Coturnix japonica: one gene and its partner. The protein of the gene in region 2 purifies or fractionates together with the protein of the main gene of each other region. This does not show direct contact. Links are inferred from orthologs where the notes say so. Each region holds a gene or a part of one and is shown on either strand. Other genes may lie near its edges.

Region 1 (3,941 bases), on a different chromosome or scaffold from region 2:
GTGAGATGCTTTGCCATTTATGTCTATGGTAGCTATGAAGCCCAGGTTCTAATCTATTACTTCTGCTTCTAATAATTTCTAAATAGAGGGGAAAAAAATTGGAGCCCAGAGTATAAACACCAGAGAATTGGAAACATGGATTGGTAAGCAGCATGCTTTGGTTTTTTGTTCCTTGTTTGTGGTGTGTATGTGCACCTCACCTATGACTATTACACTTCAGCTGCAAAGAAAGAAGCAGATTTAGTTTTTAAGTGACTGTGAAACTCTCGTGAGGTATTTAGTAACACTTCTAGTACTTTCCTGAAGAATAATAGCTGCATCTACTTCCACAACACCAGCACTTACAGCAAGAACTTAATTTATATCAACTTACTTCTGGACAGAGCTAGAGTCTGTGACCATGGAGGTAAGTCAAGATGTGCCTAGTATGACAGTAATGACAGGAAGTTGGAGGCAGCCAGCACCCAAGATACTATGTATTGTAAGGAACCTTACCATGCTTTTCAATATATAAGCAATCTTTATTTAGATACTTGAGCGCTCACATATAAGACAAAAAACTAGAGACAAAATGCACACATCATTCATTTTTAGGACACAAATGCATTCACCTCAGTTTCAGATTACACCACAGGTATGATACCCTTTAGCAGCCCAGTGAGTTCACAGGCAGGTATCTCTGGGATATTGCACTGTTCAGTAAGATAGAACCATCACTGTCTCTTGTTATTGGAACAATGTGCTATAACTATGACAGACCATACCATAAAGGCCTTGAACAGACCTTGAATACTTACATGAATAAATCTGGCCCACGTGTAGTTATTTTTCAAGTACATTAAGTATTCCACAACATCCAGCTAGAAGTCAAATAGATTACGTTGCAATTCAAGGTCAGTTCAAGATGATAACCAACCCAAAACTTGTGTTCTTAATTGCCACTGGATTCCAAGACCTGCTCTTCTTACTGTATTACAGTAGTCACAGTACAAATCTCCTCGTTAGTCCAATGAGATTACCCTTGTTAAGACTATATTCTGGATGGGGTGGCAACATCACTTCCTATTGTTGGGCAGCTTTGTAGAATTTGCTGTAATCCAGGGATGAACAAGTACATCCTTCAAGGGCAGCCGATGGAATGGGTTATGTTTCAGAAGCTTTGAAATTAAATCTCTTGCACCTTCTGTTACAAATACTGGATACCTGAATTCCACCTAAGAAAAGGAAACAAGACAAAAGATGATGCAATATTCTTTGGCACTAATCAAAACTGGAAAGCAATAGGGTTCTGCCCCCCAAGGTACAGAGAGCAAAGAAAACTGTCAGCCTTGTGGGCTATGTACCTTGTACCTAGTAATTTCATCACAAGGCTCTCGCTGCTTGCCAAAGTTCAGCTAGTGTGCTTTTTTGGGTGCTCCCAACATAAAACCTCATTGCTGGAACCTCTCAAGTTTACAGAACTCTAGAAATATATAATTTAAGTTTTTCCTGATACCTCAAGCAATTAATATTTTATATACCAGAAACATGAAAGTAGTGGAGGAGATTGTGAAGAATAAACTGCTATATGAAAAGGTTGGTGTTCAGATACAGGTAGAAACAGAACAGAACCAAGCAGCCAGGAAAGCTGTCTTTATTGTAATTCTACTGGAGTCACTTCAGGATAGCTTTAGGGATCTAGTTTTCTGTGTATCTCGTTATGGCTTTCCTTCCCTCAAAAGCAATATTAAACTTTCAAGAAGACAAGAAGTGAAACCAAAATTCACCTAGTCAAAGTTATGGTACATACCCTGGAAATAGCTCTGTAGGTTTCTTGATATGTTGCTGCTTCAAAAGGTGGCTTTCCTACAAGGAATTCATAGCACAGAACCCCCAGGCTCCAAATATCCACCTTTTCATCATGTGTTCTTCCCTCAATCATTTCAGGAGGCAAGTAGTCAAGTGTCCCACAGAGAGTTGATCTCCTGAAGAAAAGCACAGAGTACAGTGTATCATTTACCCTTTGTGGCTGTTTGTTAGTATTAGCATCTTGATTCCAGTGTTCTTATCTGTATCTCAGTGTAGTCTACCCCAGATAAACCCAGTATCTCTGGAATTCCATCAGTCATTCTAGGTTTGCTTTGAAGTATTCTGATCATGACAGGCAGTTTTGCCCTTCCTTTTTGCCTCTCCCACTGGCTCACAGGTCAGTGAGGCTTTCTTCATTGGGTGCAGTTCATACTAAGGAAACATTCCAGGTACAGCATGAACTGAAGTTCTGATCTTCATTTCAGGGACCACTGTAACCCTAAACCAGCGCACTAACACCCTTGTTTCAGGTTCAGTAAGTTGTCAGATACACAAATGGAGAAGCAGGATAACGTTCCCTCTATGCTACGCCAATCAAATATTAAGAGCTTGACAGCACTGGCCCAATTATTAAATGCTCCCCCCCAGTATTTCAGTAAGTTGACATTTACCTCCATTGCATAACTAAGTTTGGCAAGAAAGCTATAATTTTCATTACAGAAGAATTTCACTGTACAAGGTATATACTGTGATCTTACCTAGAGGATGGAGCATGCACAGACCATCCAAAGTCTGCAATTTTTAACTCTCCATTTGAGCCAAGCAGCAGGTTTTCTGGTTTGATGTCCCGGTGAATCACACTCTTGGAATGACAGTATGATAGGGCATCTGCTAGTTCTGTAATGTACTGCAAAGAAAACAGAACTGTCAAATATGAAGACACTGATGCTCAAGCTTTATTAGCTACAGTATAATATTCTCTAGTCATAATTAGCAGTTTGGAGCAGAAAAATTGTTCCTTGCACTCACAAGCAACAGATGTTGCTTGAAGTGACCACACAAATTACAGTGCTGGGCAATGCTGAACATTATTCATTGACACTGAAGTTGTTTGTCCTCCCAACATATTCCTAAACAGGCTGCAAGTGCATAAGCAAGCTAGCATCCAAAAAGTTAGTTTTATGCAACTGAAAATTGCTAGCTCTTCAGGAGAAAGTTGCATACTTCAGGTATGCTACACAGGAGCAAGCAACGTACAAGCAATTAGAACAACCTACAGTTGCAGTTCTTTGTTCATCGAATTTGGTGTGCTTCTGTAGCTCCTTGAAGACTTCTCCACGAGGTGCATACTCTAGAATAAGGTAGACTCTTGTAACATCATGGAAGTAGCCGTATAGTCTGAGAATGTTGGGATGCCTGCAAGAAATTGAAATGCCTTCCTGAACATATTTTCTGTGAAACAACTAATTCATTCAGCAAGTTGGGCTTATTTGACAGGAAACAGAATACCAGGAACAAGCTTAGACTGAGAAATTGCAGTCATCCACTTGTAAGAACTGGCCAGGTGCTTGGCTTCTATGTTTGGGTTCTCTTTTCTTTTTGGTCCATGCGGTGGTGGGGCAGGGGCAGAATGGCAAGAACCTTAACAAGCAGTTTCTTAACAAGCAGTTTCAAGGTGTCACGTATTACAGAATTGCTTTTCTTCAAGTGAGTTTACTTTCTTTTTTAACTGAGCATAAACTAAGAAGAGGGTAACAGTTATATTACCTGAGATGAGATTGTATTTCAACTTCTCTTCGTAGTTGATGTTCTACACCAGCATCCTCAAGCTGTGCTTTAAACAACACTTTCAGTGCAAGAATAAATTTACTCTGTTTTTCACGTGCCAAGTATACATTGCCAAATTTTCCTTTCCCCAGAGGACGACCAATTTCAAAATCATCAAGAGACCACTGTCTTCTGCAAAAGGAGACAGAAAGTTACAGAATAATGCTTGAGTGTATCAGCAATGTTCCACTTATATGCTGATAGACTTTAGTCTTTAATGGAACACCACCAAGAGGACAAAACATGCATTGAGACTTCTCAAAGGGAAAGCTTCTCTCTTGCTTCTAAAGCATATGCATAGAGATACAGCTACATACTGCAGCAAA
Region 2 (4,288 bases):
AACTGTAACAATCCTATGATACTGAGGAAACAGCAAAAAGAAACTTCAGTCCATCCAGATTCCTAAAAAACATCCCAAACCAGCTATAGAGCTGTATGTAATACCCAAGAGTAGAAAAACATTTTACTTCAGTTGCTTAGTAGCATATGGTTTCTACAACAGATGCCGGAACATTGACACATCACCAAAACGCTTCCATGTGACATGCAAAGCTTTCAGCATTCAGACTCTCTCGGTACTTTCTGCTTAATCTTCCAGACTTCCCCAACACCCTAAACACCAGAACCGAACCCAATCACTAAATGGCTTCGAGTCCTTTGCTCTTCTCCTCCAACTTCATCTATCCCTATGTGTTTTATTACCATGGGAAGCTTTGCCAAAAACCACGGCTCTCGTCTTGCTCTAGAGAAGTGCTATCAAATGTATCTACTTGTGTCAATTCAGATGCATCGCCTGCTTTGAGAAACACACCATCCTAAACCTGCCATGTGACACAATATATGGAAACCTTGAGGGTCACAGATGAAAATGCTACATGACCACCAGAACTCGATACTACATGGTGTGACATCCCATCTTACTATGGAAACAGGCCCACAGAGGCTGTATTTCCATCTCAGCTTCCAAAGGCCATGAATGAACTCATAGGAACACACAAGTCCACTGCTACAAAGATACTGCGTCCAGTGCTGCAACACTGAAGCCAGTAGATGAAATAATACAGTGATACAAAGCAATTTGCTTAACTGCCTGCGGAGCTGAATAAATACTACAGAGCCTTTTAAGCACTTGGACAAAAGAGGACATCATCAGTTTAGAGAAAGGGAACACCACCAGTGAGCTCAGCACAGCATCCCTCTCCTTAGGTTTCAGTCACACACTGGTTGCTTCAGAGCCAGCTGCGTAGTGCAGCACAGCACAGTATGTGCACCCCAAGCTTAAGCTGAGCACAGAAGCAAAGCTGTTGAGCCACGGCACTAGAGTTCACTCTCTAACCATCTGTTAATGTTACACACATCATTTTCTGCTGTAATATGGGAGAATTTCTATTCGAGTTAATTGAAGCTCACCCTGAGATCATCGTCTGATTCACTCCACTTGGTGTCCTGTCTATAGCATCACCTCTGTTAAGTGCAAGAAATAAGCGCTCGGAAGGAAACAGCCAGATTTCCTCACTTTATCAAATCAACAGCAGCACAGCAAACAGTTTGCAAGCAATATTGTAAAGATGCACACACAAACTAATTAATATCCTTCATTCCGTAATGGAATATTAAGCTGTTAAGAACTTCACATGCTGGCTGTATACCACATCTGCATGGGGTCTCGTTTAGAAGCTGTATATTGGAAACATAATTCTGTATTGTTCTTTTAGATTTGCATAATAAAGGCTCCTGCGAGCTACAGTTAGTCCGTGCCTCCCCACGGGAGCACAAAGAAGTAACGCAGAGCTAAGCAATAGGGCTCATATGTGCTGTACTGAAACTACGTAGCAGTTTATCAAACTTGGGTATTCCAGCAAGATCACTGAAATGCGGGTTTGAGCAGTTCACGACTAATAATAAGAAGAAAGGTGCCGGGTATTTGTGCAGTTCACTTGTACGATCCTATCATAGATTAAACCTGCTTAATATTCAGCATTTAAACAAAAAAAAAAGCCACCACCACATCTAAACAGCCAAGAGTACATTTACACCCATCCCACTTATGACACTGTCTACCTAAAGAGTATCACAAGCCGCGATACAACCTTTCATTTTTAAGCAATCCCTCTCCAGGAAGGTTTCCTAAAGCTTCTACATCCCCCTTAAGCTTTCTATATTCCTCCGCCCAGAACTTTGGGATAGCACGAATAGGCGTGTTGCTCCTTATGTCACATTGGTGGAGAGAATCCCCTGACCTCAGCTCCACCTGCGCTTATGTCACAAGGCTGCATCACCAACCAACTCCCCCTTATGCTCACAGAAGTTTCTAACTACTAAAGCAACACAAAAACAAGCAGCAGGTTCAAAGTTGGGTTTTGCCAGGTGTATTTAGCAACAGATAAATCAATAGTGCCGCGCTCCCAGCAAGTTCTAACAAAAAGTAATAATAATAATAATGAATAAAAATAATTATTTTTTTAAAAACAGCAGGAATACAGTGATTTTGAAGAAGTAAAAACAAAGTTAGCCATCAGTGATGTGATCCAGGCTTATCACAGAGGCACAGAAGTTCTGTAAGCGGTACCCACACAAGTGACTGCTGGCGGCACGGAGCAGCACTCGGCCTGCCCCGGGAGCACCGCACCGTACCGCACCGTATCTCAGGGCCCTCCGCTCCGCCCCAGCCGGCGGCGCTCGCTGCTCCGAACCAGCACCGCCCCTCCGCGGGCGCCCAGCAGTTCTGAGCCCCACCGAAGGGCCCGAGGCGGCGGCCCTGGGCCCTCCCCGCCGCGCCCAGCCCGGCTGCCCCCCATACCCGCAGCCCGGCACGGCCCGGGCTCGGGGCCGATACGGGCCGGCCCACGCGGTCCCGCCGGGCTCCGACCCCGCGGAGCCCCCGCGCGGAGGGGGCAGGCGCCAGGCCCACGCCGCCGCGGGAAGGCCCCGAGCGCGGCCTGCGCCCCCCGGAGCTGTGGCGGAGGAAGGCCGAGGAGCCGCTGCACACAACGTACCTCGGACACAGCGTCACCCCGCCACAGGCCCCGCGCTGCCTCCGCTCAGGCGGGAAAGCCACCGCTCGCCACCATCACCTACGCTCCAAGATGGCGGACATATCAGCGCCTGCGAGCCCTCCTCTCCCTCCGCCCTGCCTGCCAATCATAGCGCCCCGGCACCGCCCCGCCCCTTTCCTATTGGGTGGCGTGTGCGGCTCGGCCTCTCATTGGCAGTATCCTCGCTGTCAGTCACCCAGTCAGAATGCTCCTACAGGCTTAAGCGGGGATGGGGGCGGGCCGTCGATTTCTTTCTAGCCAATCGGCGCACGAGAAGGGCGCACCTCTCATCCCACCTTCCCCACTTAGCAACAGGGCACGTCACCGTGACGGGCGTTTCCATCGTCCAATCGGAAGAGCGGAAGCCTCTTAAAAAATAATAAACTCTCTCTGTCCAATCCGGAGCCGCGGCGCATGGCGGGAGGGGCGCTGTCCGCATTGGCCGCTGTGCACAAGCACGGCGCCAAACTGCCTGACAACAAGGGGGGCGGGGGAGGCCGTGTGGGGAGGCGCGGAGAGCGGAGGCTGCGCAGTGGGGAATTAGCTCAAATGGTAGAGCGCTCGCTTAGCATGCGAGAGGTAGCGGGATCGATGCCCGCATTCTCCAGCGCAGGGATTATTTTCTTTCCTCGAGCCCAGAGGGCTTGTTTTAACCCCAATGTAAATTGCAGTGTGGAGCTCTCTGTTTTCGTTTTGGGACGCGGCTGTGTCTAGGATAGAAAAAGCAAGGCTTTAAATAATGTGTTTTTTCTTGTGCTCACCCTACACAGGGCACTCCCTGGGAGACAAGCTCTACTTCGCAACCGGCCCAACCAGCTCAGCTCGTGGCCCTTCCAGCAGTGGGGTGCGGGACCGCCACTCTTGTCTATGTGTTAATTCAACAACAAAGTAACGACTAGTAGAGCAAGGCCAGCTGAGCCAACAACCAGATTTAGCCATAACCCTCACAAACCCCTTTATCCTCCTCACAGGATGAGAGAGGGGAAAAAAAAAGAACCTTCGAAGAATGTTAATGATTTAGGCCGAGGGCTTATCAGCATTGTGAAAACTAAGTAGCTTTAAGGGGAAGGAAGAAGCATTTCTGAACAACGACTTCATGGTTTTGCTGCTGAGGGGGAACGTGGATGCTTGGCTGCACCAAACCCCACGAGTTAATCCATTTAGTTGAAACAAAATGTTCAAGTTCGGTCTTTTAATCTCGTTTCCAACGCTGATCCTATTAGCATTTCTAAGCAAAAGCTGCTGGGGACTGGGGTGGGATCTCCACGCCATCCCTCAATGGAAAGGGCCGTTCTGGGATCACGGAAGGCAACAACAGGGAGAAGATTCCTGAGGCAATGAGGCCTAACTATAAAGCTAAAAAGCAAATGCTACTCATTAGAAATGCTGGGGAGCAGGGGAAGACCCAGTTATATTAATTATTAACATCAGACACCAAATTAGGCCCTGGTAATAAAACTAGTTATACTGTAAGCTGCAGAAATAAGTACAGCGTCCAACCATCATGTACTCTGTCCCCTATGTTTTCCCCTCCCACAGTAATTTCAGTTCCCTATCTCCTGTAACGCTTTCCCCCACCTTTACTCTTTCAAC

Evidence for each region.
Region 1: the proteins of PPP6R3 (region 2) and AURKA purify together in Homo sapiens (affinity purification with mass spectrometry; 6 studies listed by BioGRID and IntAct, counting the BioPlex papers as one, with this or other methods). This does not show direct contact. The link is inferred for Coturnix japonica from reciprocal best matches to the Homo sapiens genes PPP6R3 and AURKA.

The regions. Positions count from the first base shown.
Region 1 is NC_029535.1:10,858,926-10,862,866, reverse strand, and holds the end of AURKA (aurora kinase A), read right to left. Parts: intron 3,748-3,941; coding exon 3,556-3,747; intron 3,205-3,555; coding exon 3,066-3,204; intron 2,696-3,065; coding exon 2,547-2,695; intron 1,965-2,546; coding exon 1,790-1,964; intron 1,215-1,789; coding exon 1,056-1,214; 3' UTR 501-1,055; downstream 1-500. UniProt on the Homo sapiens protein: Mitotic serine/threonine kinase that contributes to the regulation of cell cycle progression.
Region 2 is NC_029520.1:8,230,908-8,235,195, forward strand, and holds the start of PPP6R3 (serine/threonine-protein phosphatase 6 regulatory subunit 3), read right to left. Parts: upstream 2,801-4,288; 5' UTR 2,657-2,800; intron 1,869-2,656; exon of another isoform or gene 1,751-1,868; intron 1-1,750.